Linked DNA regions of Saccharomyces cerevisiae S288C. Changing the gene in region 1 together with any one later gene gives a genetic interaction. Each region holds a gene or a part of one and is shown on either strand. Other genes may lie near its edges.

The links. Genes that interact genetically often act in the same process or in processes that back each other up.
Region 2: mutations in RUP1 (region 1) and SGF29 together harm fitness more than expected from each alone (negative genetic interaction), as found in Saccharomyces cerevisiae (2 studies listed by BioGRID).

Annotation. Positions count from the first base shown.
Region 1 is NC_001147.6:581,850-587,849, forward strand, and holds RUP1 (Rup1p), read right to left. Parts: upstream 4,476-6,000; coding exon 2,460-4,475; downstream 1-2,459. Other genes in the region: SIA1 (Sia1p), read right to left, coding at 1-1,832; SFL1 (Sfl1p), read left to right, coding at 5,132-6,000. UniProt on the Saccharomyces cerevisiae protein: Modulates the activity of the RSP5 HECT ubiquitin-protein ligase through its mediation of the interaction between RSP5 and the deubiquitinase UBP2. Involved in regulation of cell wall homeostasis.
Region 2 is NC_001135.5:101,147-106,166, reverse strand, and holds SGF29 (Sgf29p), read left to right. Parts: upstream 1-1,816; coding exon 1,817-2,596; downstream 2,597-5,020. Other genes in the region: ubiquitin-binding ESCRT-I subunit protein STP22, read left to right, coding at 1-471; ILV6 (acetolactate synthase regulatory subunit), read left to right, coding at 619-1,548; GBP2 (single-stranded telomeric DNA-binding/mRNA-binding protein), read left to right, coding at 2,809-4,092; YCL012C (uncharacterized protein), read left to right, coding at 4,379-4,466, 4,534-4,850; BUD3 (Bud3p), read right to left, coding at 4,976-5,020. UniProt on the Saccharomyces cerevisiae protein: Chromatin reader component of the transcription coactivator SAGA complex. SAGA acts as a general cofactor required for essentially all RNA polymerase II transcription.

The DNA.
Region 1 (6,000 bases):
ACCTCGTCAACAAGATTGCTATTCCTCTTCCACGAAGTTATTTCGTCCAAAATATCATCCAAGTTAAATAATCTAACGGTTGGATATATACCTTGGATTCTCGGCAAGCCTATACCAGCGGACCCACCGTAACATAACCACATCTCATTTTTTGACTGTAAGCAACAGTCATTATTATGTTCATGTCCGCAACTGACACCCTTTATATTCCAAAGACTCAGGATATCAAGGAAGCTTTTGTAATGTTTGCCATTGATCGTCATTGAAACTTGTCCTCTAGACCTTGGCGTATCTACTGTTAAGGTAGACCTCTCATTATACTGCCCAATAATAGGAAATAAACCATGAGGCCTATATTCCGATAATGGAAAATATTGAAATGCCAAGCCAAAGTCTATTTTCCCAATCAGGTCGTTATAATCTTGTAGGAAATTATTGACGGGCGCAAATGAATCAAAGACGAAAAATAAAGCCTCTGATGGGTTTGTTTCGTCTTCGGTATCAATGTCTCTTTCCAAAAGAGTATTCTTCGTGAGCTTCTTTTTAAATGAGACTTCTATGGCCATATGACCCTCTTCTGATGCAACGTTGTTAAATGTGTAAGGTAAATTCCTGATAAAGTCTCTAATTTGTGCCGATGTGGCCAAATTGGATTCGTCAGAAACACCCAATGAAATTGCGTAGGGTATTTTATTAGAAATCATTGGTTGGACAACTTTCATAATGCACGTTTGATAGTCGATAGTATTATGTGAGTCTAACAAATCACCTGTGATCACAACTAAATCAGGGTTTTCTGATGCGAGTACCCTATCAATAAAATTTACTGTTTTTATTTCATTGATTACGGTCATGCTATTATCCGTACATTTGAAATGAAAATCAGTTATTTGGAGAATTTTGAATGATCTTTGTCCCCTCGAAAATTGTATATGGGGAGATGTTATTTTGTAATCTGCATCGACTTGGATATTAATGTCTTTGCTGGGTGTTCTCAAAGAACCTAGCAATCCATTAGAAAATTTGTGATGATGGTTTTTGGTTTCAAGCTTTCTTGTAATTGATATGGGCAGAGAAGGTATGTTATTTCTATGAAATTCATGGATAACTTCTTTCCAAGAAGGCCTCGATTCAATAAACGATGATCCTAGATATATTTCCAAATTAGTTATAGGAGCGTCATTATCATCATCATTAAGGATATACTTACACCATATGCCGCTCCCCTTGTATACCCACTCCTCACCGAACACAGCTATGTTATCTGTATCAACGGATATGCCGAAAAGCAGCTTCCACCATGACGAAGTAGGCTTTTCTCGTAGATACACATGATTGTGAAAGACAGAACTGTCGCTCGATTTCACCAACTTATTAATGTCTCTCAGCACTTGTAGGGGTATTAGTGCTGAGTCCCTTGCTATGGCTAGTTCTTTTATTGTGTTTTTTGGATTACTTTGGAAATCTTTCAGATGAACATATAAGTAACTGTTGTAGAATGGTCCAGACTGAAGTGAATACAATGTCTCTACAGTAATATTCTTAGAAACTCTGGTCCACAGAATGCTGTTTTTGTCTTTGATCTTTTTAGCAGTATTGGAGGGGTGTAATTTCGGGGCATACAAAGAACTACATTGCCTGTACCAATGGTAGCACCGCAGGATTTGAATATCGTCTATCATTCCGCCATGATATTCTGCTACATTATGATCCATTAATACATTTTTTGCATGTAGCTTTAGTGAATCTCTCGATAAATACAATGAAGTAATGCATAATATAAAAAGTATTCTCCTTAAAAAATTAAATCTTCTTCTATAATGTAATCTCATGCAAATATTTGAAGGGTATTGTTTGCGAAGGTCAATGAATGTGATAAGAGCTAATTGTTGGAAAGTAAAATAATCGAAAGGAATGAGAAAAAGGTAAGTTATTTAAATCTCTTTTGGAAATGAAACTAAAGCAACTTGAAAGAAATTTCAAGAAATAATGAAAACCTCGAATTAATCGACAAATGAAGAGTACTGCAGAACCGAAATTGAAAAAAAAGGTCGTAAAGTTGAAATGAATTGAAGTCAGAATTAAAATAGAAGGGGTATTGTTGCGGCTAAAGTAAAATAAAGAAAGGAGAAGTTAGAAAAAGCAACTCAATGATCTTGTGTTCGAGGCTATATTATAATAAGTTTAGGACTTGGCATTATTTCAGATCAAAAGTATAAAAATTAAAACTGTCCTTTATCTGTCAACCTTTTTATTTTTGTTTGATCCTTAGAGTCTAATTTATGTCCGTAAATAGAAGTTTTCGGATTGCGGGCGCAGTTAGCCTCCAAGCGGAGTTTCTATAGTATTGAAAACGTAAACTAGTAACATATATGCGGTTCAAAATTACTAGAGAAAATGAGATCATAGTTTAAAGAGACATACGTTATTTATCTGGCGGAAAGTGTATAGAAATCTATCTAATTATCAGAATCGATGTCATCGTCATTGTCATTATCGTTACCATTGTTAATATTGTTGGTGGCTTGTTCAGGATCTCCCATACCATCGAAAAATTGCGAACGCAATGTTTTTAATGAATTTTGGTCATCCTCAGCAAATTTTAAGCACCCGCTATTGCTTTTCAACGCTTCCGCGACTACTTCTTCCGTGGGAATTTTACCCTCTTCACAGTATATGAACATCAGCGGAGTTTCACTTGCGTACTTCGTGCCATGCTTGATGGCTTCTTGAACGACAGAAGGCGACGAACATTTTTTCACCTTGAATTCTGTTCCCAACGTATTACTTTGTATCCATGACCATGCACCGTTTCTGCTTCTGATAAAGTATGAATATGGCGATAGTGCTGCCATTGTGAGGATGTAGGGATTTTCGATCAGTCCCAATTGCTTTGCAGTGTTGATTATGTGTGTCTCTGGATGTGAAAGGTTCCATTCTCCATGCAGTTTGGACGCCAAGTCCTTATATTCCTCCATTTTAGCGGCTCTCGCAGAATTTAATGTATCTTTCAACGATGCGATCTGCTTTGCTGCTTCATTATTAGCATCGTCAGGAATTGTTTGTAGATACGCCAGCGTCGACTCTAGAATAGTGGATATGTTTTTGCCTTGGTAACTCTTTAACTCGTTGATCTCTTGAAGCAAGCATCTGGATCTGGTCCGCGCTTGCTTTCGTTTAGAAATAATATGTCTTATTAGTTGGTCTTTGCACTGTTTGGTGTAAAGCTGTGGGTAAAACTCAAGCGGTATATCCACGCCATTGGGTAGAGACACTGATTCTGTATTTGTTTCTAGTTCATTGAACAGGATTGTTAATACGGGTGCCACCTCCTTCAAAGTATTCTCCGGTTCCACATATCTCGCCTCTTCTTGCTCGCCACCACGAATCACGTCTTCTTCTTCTTCCTCTTCTTCGGGGTACAATAAAACGTTGAACATTTTATATAGATTAGAATCGTACTCTTCAGGAAGAAAATGAAACAAGGACAAAAACGTCTCCATTGGAGGTTCATTCTTGTTCGGAGTATGCAAAGCAGAAGATATAAAGAGACTTCTTGTTTCCCGGTCTCTGATCCCAGGACACATTTCCAAATCCACTGCCAATGATTTGATAAACGCTGGGAGCACCTCATAAAGATGCTCGGAATCGGCCAGCTTGGACCTCAATTGCGGTTCCAAGGACGACGTAAACACCTTGGCCGAAACAAAGGCTCTTTCACACTTTCGCGTGTTAACCACGGAGATGAGTTTTTGCAACTGCCAGAGCAGATGCGGTTGCAACCCTTCATTAGGTCCGCTGGCCAGCACGATCTCCGACGTAGTGGAACCATCTTCTGCCTCGCAATATGCAAGTCTGTATTTGGGCTCCGTAAACGATGAGCCCTTGAACCAGTCTGCCCTATAGTTCAAATCCTTAAAGTCCGGTTTCAAGAACACGTGTGGGAAATACACGGCCGTGAGCAACGCAAACAGCCCAAAATAGCTCTCAATTAGACTATTCAAGGGTAGCGGCAACACAACCGTAGGATCGCCCACGTTCGACTTGAACTCGTTGTGTTGTACTATACTATAAGAGGGGGGAGGAATGGATGTCTCCGATATAGAATAACGATCGTAGTTCTGAGCAGTAACCCTGCATCCGCTGGTGCTATTAGAACCGCTGCGTTCATCCGTGATGTCTTCATCGTCATCATAATCAACATCGACACCACTCACATCCGGCATATCAATGTCTTGGTCCCCGTTGTTCGGAACATCGCAGGGCTTGGTTCCAGCCACTATTTTGTTCTCAGAAATCCTAGGCTGACTGCCATCATTCTCCTCACCCATTTCCGCTTGCTCCGGCAGCTCGTTCGAAAAGATGAAGTTAACTGCTGCCTCCAAATTACCGCCAGTTCTTTGGAGGGCGTCCACAGCTACTTCGTGTGGAATACCCATTTCTAGCAGTGACTTTACAGCCTGATTATCCATCATCGTAGCTTACTTAACAAAAATCAATTACTTAAGATTCCTTTTACAGGTGACGACTCTCCTTTTCCGGCTTCTTCTCTTCTTTCCTCTACTCCGACAGGTCCTTAAGCCTTGTAGTGAGAAGTACCTTTCAACAATAGTATCTTTTACTTCCGTGCCGGGTCGCCCGGACATCACCCGCCCGGCACAGATGCCTTGGCAGCAAGCGCATCCATCGCTGCATCTCCGCCGGAAAAACAGATGTTCAGTACATGAAAAGACGTTTTTATTCGACATAAACTTTTTCAGCTAGCAAGAAGGATCTCTTTTTAAACACTCTATACAGGTGCACACAAAGGGTTGTTGAAACAGAAACACAAACGCACGGCGAAATAATATTATTTATTCGACTTACGAATTTTTCAAAGAAGTCGTACTGGTGTGAAGTGGAAAGTTTCAAAGATAGTTTGAAAAGCAGGGAAAAAAGAACATAGTGAACCTTCATCGCCACAGTGACAGGTTCAAGGAAAAAATTCACACACACACACATACGCATACGCACACAAAGCACTCAGCTCTATATACATAACAAAGAATATTGTAATTCGACACTATTTGGTACATTCAGAGGGTCCTAAGACAGCACAAATCAGTTATATAGAAAAAAAGAAGAAAAAATCATGAGTGAAGAGGAAACGGTCTCAGCCCCAGCTCCAGCTTCTACACCGGCCCCGGCTGGAACCGATGTAGGTAGTGGTGGAGCAGCAGCTGGAATAGCTAATGCTGGTGCTGAAGGCGGCGACGGTGCCGAGGATGTTAAGAAACATGGGTCGAAGATGCTAGTGGGGCCCAGGCCGCCACAAAATGCGATATTCATCCATAAGCTATACCAGATTCTGGAGGACGAATCGCTACACGACTTGATATGGTGGACCCCTTCGGGCTTATCCTTCATGATTAAGCCTGTGGAACGGTTTAGTAAGGCTTTGGCTACATATTTCAAGCATACTAATATCACGAGCTTTGTAAGACAGTTGAACATTTACGGCTTTCACAAGGTGTCGCATGATCATAGCAGCAACGACGCTAATAGTGGCGACGACGCCAATACTAATGATGACAGCAATACTCACGATGATAATAGTGGCAACAAAAACAGTAGTGGCGACGAAAATACCGGTGGCGGTGTCCAAGAAAAGGAGAAAAGTAACCCCACTAAAATCTGGGAATTTAAGCATAGTTCTGGTATTTTCAAGAAAGGTGACATTGAGGGACTCAAACACATTAAGAGAAGAGCTTCTTCCCGTAATAACTCCTCAATTAACAGTCGAAAGAATTCTAGTAATCAAAACTACGATATAGATTCCGGTGCAAGAGTAAGACCCTCTTCGATTCAAGACCCGTCCACCAGTTCCAATTCCTTTGGTAATTTCGTTCCGCAAATTCCGGGCGCCAATAACTCTATCCCCGAGTACTTTAATAACTCTCATGTAACTTACGAAAACGCAAACCATGCCCCGCTGGAATCCAATAACCCGGAAATGCAAGA
Region 2 (5,020 bases), on another chromosome or scaffold:
ACCGTAGTCAATGAGTTATACAGAGAGGATGTGGACTATGTAGCGGACAAGATACTGACGAGACAGACCGTCATGCAAGAATCAATTGCCAGATTCCATGAAATAATCGCCATCGACAAGAACCATTTACGAGCCGTTGAGCAGGCTATTGAGCAGACCATGCACTCGCTAAACGCACAGATAGACGTCCTGACCGCAAATAGGGCCAAAGTCCAACAGTTTAGCTCAACTTCGCATGTGGATGACGAGGACGTGAACTCCATAGCAGTGGCCAAAACAGATGGACTCAATCAACTATACAACCTCGTTGCCCAGGACTACGCTCTCACGGACACCATTGAGTGCTTATCTAGGATGCTGCACCGTGGCACCATTCCCCTCGATACTTTTGTCAAGCAAGGTCGTGAATTAGCACGCCAGCAATTCCTTGTGCGATGGCACATCCAACGAATCACCTCACCGTTATCGTGACTCACTTTCTTTCGCATCGCCGAAGTGCCATAAAAAATATTTTTTTAACCTTTACCTAACAAGAACGGGGAATGGTATATATGGAAGTACATAGTTCGTATATACAGAATCTTTAGAACATCTGAGCTCACTAACCCAGTCTTTCTAATGCTGAGATCGTTATTGCAAAGCGGCCACCGCAGGGTGGTTGCTTCTTCATGTGCTACCATGGTGCGTTGCAGTTCCTCGTCGACCTCCGCGTTGGCGTACAAGCAGATGCACAGACACGCAACAAGACCTCCCTTGCCCACACTAGACACTCCTTCCTGGAATGCCAACAGTGCCGTTTCATCCATCATTTACGAAACACCAGCGCCTTCTCGTCAACCAAGAAAACAGCATGTCTTGAACTGTTTGGTGCAAAACGAACCCGGTGTCTTGTCCAGAGTCTCGGGTACGTTAGCTGCCAGAGGCTTTAACATCGATTCGTTGGTCGTGTGCAACACCGAGGTCAAAGACCTAAGTAGAATGACCATTGTTTTGCAAGGGCAAGATGGCGTAGTCGAACAAGCACGCAGACAAATCGAAGACTTGGTCCCCGTCTACGCCGTCCTAGACTATACCAATTCTGAGATCATCAAAAGAGAGCTAGTGATGGCCAGAATCTCTCTATTGGGTACTGAATACTTCGAAGACCTACTATTGCACCACCACACTTCCACCAATGCTGGCGCCGCTGACTCCCAAGAATTGGTCGCCGAAATCAGAGAAAAGCAATTCCACCCTGCCAACTTGCCCGCCAGTGAGGTATTAAGGTTGAAGCACGAGCATTTGAACGATATCACCAACTTGACCAACAACTTTGGAGGTCGTGTCGTCGACATCAGCGAAACAAGCTGTATTGTGGAGTTGTCTGCAAAACCCACACGTATCTCTGCCTTCTTGAAGTTGGTCGAGCCATTCGGTGTCCTAGAGTGTGCAAGAAGCGGTATGATGGCATTGCCAAGAACTCCTTTGAAGACAAGCACCGAGGAAGCTGCCGACGAAGACGAAAAGATCAGCGAAATCGTCGACATTTCCCAACTACCACCTGGTTAGGTTAGTCTCTCGGCCTTGCGATCGCCCTCGGGACTCTCCTCTATACATCTATATAACGTATCTATAACCATGAGCCTATTTACTCATAAGTTGCTATGATTGTACGTTTGTACGAGGTGACGCGTTACTAAACTATTTTTTTCTTTTGGTTTTCTGCTTTCCTCTTCGATTTTGCCAGATACGAAAAAGGTTAAAGACACAATACCTTGGTGGCTTCTCTAAGTGGGGGGAGTTTTTCACAGCAAAACACACGGTCACCTTTCTTATTATGGACGGATATTGGGATGTTGTAGTGTCGTCCTTGCAAGACATATACAATGCCAACGAGGTCATTCCCTTTGATGATGAGCTGCAAACAAAAAAACTAAATTTCCTTAATATGTCAAAGGATCAGCTGCAATTGCATCTCAACACTTTCCAAGAACACATGGAAAACGTCAACAGAGTGCACCGAATCCTTGACAATGTACGTTCCAATTTGTCGTTGATGTTGAATCAGTCACGAGAGGAAAAGAGTGAGGAAAATACTGAAGATGCAGAAGAAGGAGAAGGGACACGCATGGCATTGTCGCAGGGCAAGAAAGCTGTGGGGAAAGTTGGCAGATCGTACTGGACCAGCGAATACAACCCAAATGCACCTATTTTGGTGGGCTCAGAGGTTGCCTATAAGCCCAGAAGGGGCAGTGCCGACGGCGAATGGATACAGTGTGAAGTACTCAAAGTCGTAGCAGATGGTACACGATTTGAAGTGAGAGATCCTGAACCTGATGAATTGGGCAACTCAGGCAAGGTGTATAAATGTAATCGGAAAGAACTACTGTTGATCCCGCCAGGCTTTCCCACTAAGAACTACCCGCCAGGTACTAAGGTTCTGGCAAGATATCCTGAAACGACCACTTTTTATCCTGCAATTGTCATCGGAACCAAGAGGGACGGCACTTGCAGGCTTCGATTTGATGGTGAAGAGGAAGTGGACAAAGAGACGGAAGTGACTCGCCGTCTAGTGCTGCCTTCGCCAACGGCTTTGGCAAACCTAGCAAGGAAATAGCAATGGTGGTTAACATTTACTACATATCATAAGATCTTCTCATGGCATTTTGTCATTATTTTGGTATCGTCGGAAGTGATGTATTCACTTGAAGGTGAAAAAAATTGAAAAAAAATGAAAGCTTGGATGAAATCAATTATATTGAGGATTTCCCATTAGAAATAAGCTATGGGCGAAAAGGAAACAAACATCAGCTGGATTTTTTCGCCAAGATGGAGAGAGAGCTAGGGATGTATGGAAATGATAGGAGTAGATCAAGATCACCTGTACGTCGTCGTTTGAGCGACGACAGAGACAGGTACGATGATTATAACGATAGTAGCAGTAATAATGGTAATGGCAGTCGTCGTCAGAGACGCGACCGAGGCTCCCGTTTCAATGATCGGTACGATCAGAGTTATGGTGGCAGCCGCTACCACGATGATAGGAACTGGCCCCCTCGCCGAGGAGGCCGTGGCAGAGGAGGAAGCAGATCATTCAGAGGGGGACGCGGTGGCGGTAGGGGTCGTACTTTAGGTCCAATTGTTGAAAGAGACTTAGAAAGGCAATTTGACGCGACCAAGAGAAATTTTGAAAATAGTATCTTCGTGAGAAACTTGACTTTTGATTGTACCCCTGAAGACCTTAAGGAATTGTTTGGTACAGTGGGCGAAGTTGTGGAGGCTGACATTATCACATCAAAGGGCCATCACCGTGGTATGGGGACTGTGGAATTTACCAAAAACGAATCTGTCCAAGATGCCATATCGAAGTTTGATGGTGCCCTCTTTATGGACCGGAAACTAATGGTAAGACAGGATAATCCTCCTCCTGAAGCTGCCAAGGAATTTTCTAAGAAAGCTACTAGGGAAGAAATAGATAATGGGTTTGAAGTGTTCATCATCAATTTACCGTACTCTATGAATTGGCAATCCTTAAAAGATATGTTTAAAGAATGTGGTCATGTCTTGCGTGCCGATGTAGAATTGGATTTCAACGGATTTTCAAGAGGATTCGGTTCTGTCATTTATCCTACTGAGGATGAAATGATTAGAGCTATCGATACATTCAACGGCATGGAAGTAGAAGGTAGAGTTTTGGAAGTTAGAGAAGGGCGTTTCAACAAGAGAAAGAACAATGATCGTTATAATCAAAGGCGTGAGGACCTTGAAGATACCAGAGGTACTGAACCAGGTCTTGCGCAGGATGCCGCTGTCCACATTGATGAAACTGCAGCAAAATTTACTGAAGGTGTCAATCCAGGAGGGGATAGAAACTGTTTCATTTATTGTAGTAATTTACCATTCTCAACAGCAAGAAGCGATTTATTCGACTTGTTTGGGCCTATCGGCAAAATCAATAACGCGGAATTGAAACCACAGGAAAATGGTCAACCAACTGGTGTTGCTGTTGTAGAATATGAAAATTTAGTAGATGCAGATTTTTGTATTCAAAAATTAAATAATTATAATTATGGTGGTTGTAGTTTACAGATCTCTTATGCTAGACGTGATTAATTCCTAAGCACCAACCGAACCATGACCTGTGTACTTTATGATAACGTATAAATAATAAGGAAGCGGGCGGGTTATAAATAACTTTAATAGTTATATTTATCATTTTGACCAAAAAGAATAACCTTATTTAATCCCTGTAAAAGAGCACCACTTCCAGCGATGAGATGCGAAAAGCGAAGAAAAAAAAAAAAAAAAAAAGGGTATTCTAAACTGAATATATAAAAACTGCCACCAATTAAGAGAAGAAAAGCTACACAATTAATTTCCAAAAATTGCAAATACGAGTATGAAGAGTTTGTTCTATCTCAAATTGCTCCTCTGGGTTGTGCTATTGTCTTTATGCCTTCTTATGGCACACCGGAAAACCAAAGTTGGTATGTATATTTAAGCATTTGAAAATGCAAAGTGCAAACCGTATCTAAATACTAACAGCTGTAATAGCCGACAAATTTCGTGCACTGCGTTCAAGAATACAATTACGTTTTAATAGACATATACGTTTAAATGATTCCTTTGCTGATGACCTAGAAAACGGTCTCCATTCCAGGAATTTCGATATTATCTCGGAGAATAGCAACGACGTAAGAGGTGGTTTGGATGATGTCTCCAAGAATGAGATTAAACAAATTATGGAAAACGATAATGTAGATTTCGATAAGGCTAGACTATTATATATGGAAAGAAAGTTCGGCCAAAATGGTATTGCCCCCGATGGAACCCCTATTGATCCAAAAGCATTCACCTTTGATAGTAGGTAAAGGTATCTAATATATTCAGTTTTACTTAAGTGGGAGGTTTTTCCCCCTTTTTCTTATTTGTCCATATTTTATGTAAATGTATACATTGCATTAAATTAAAAAGAAAAAAAAAATCAATAAAACACTCAATAAAATTTCAGTTTCTCTGGGCCACCAACAGCGCAGTTCTG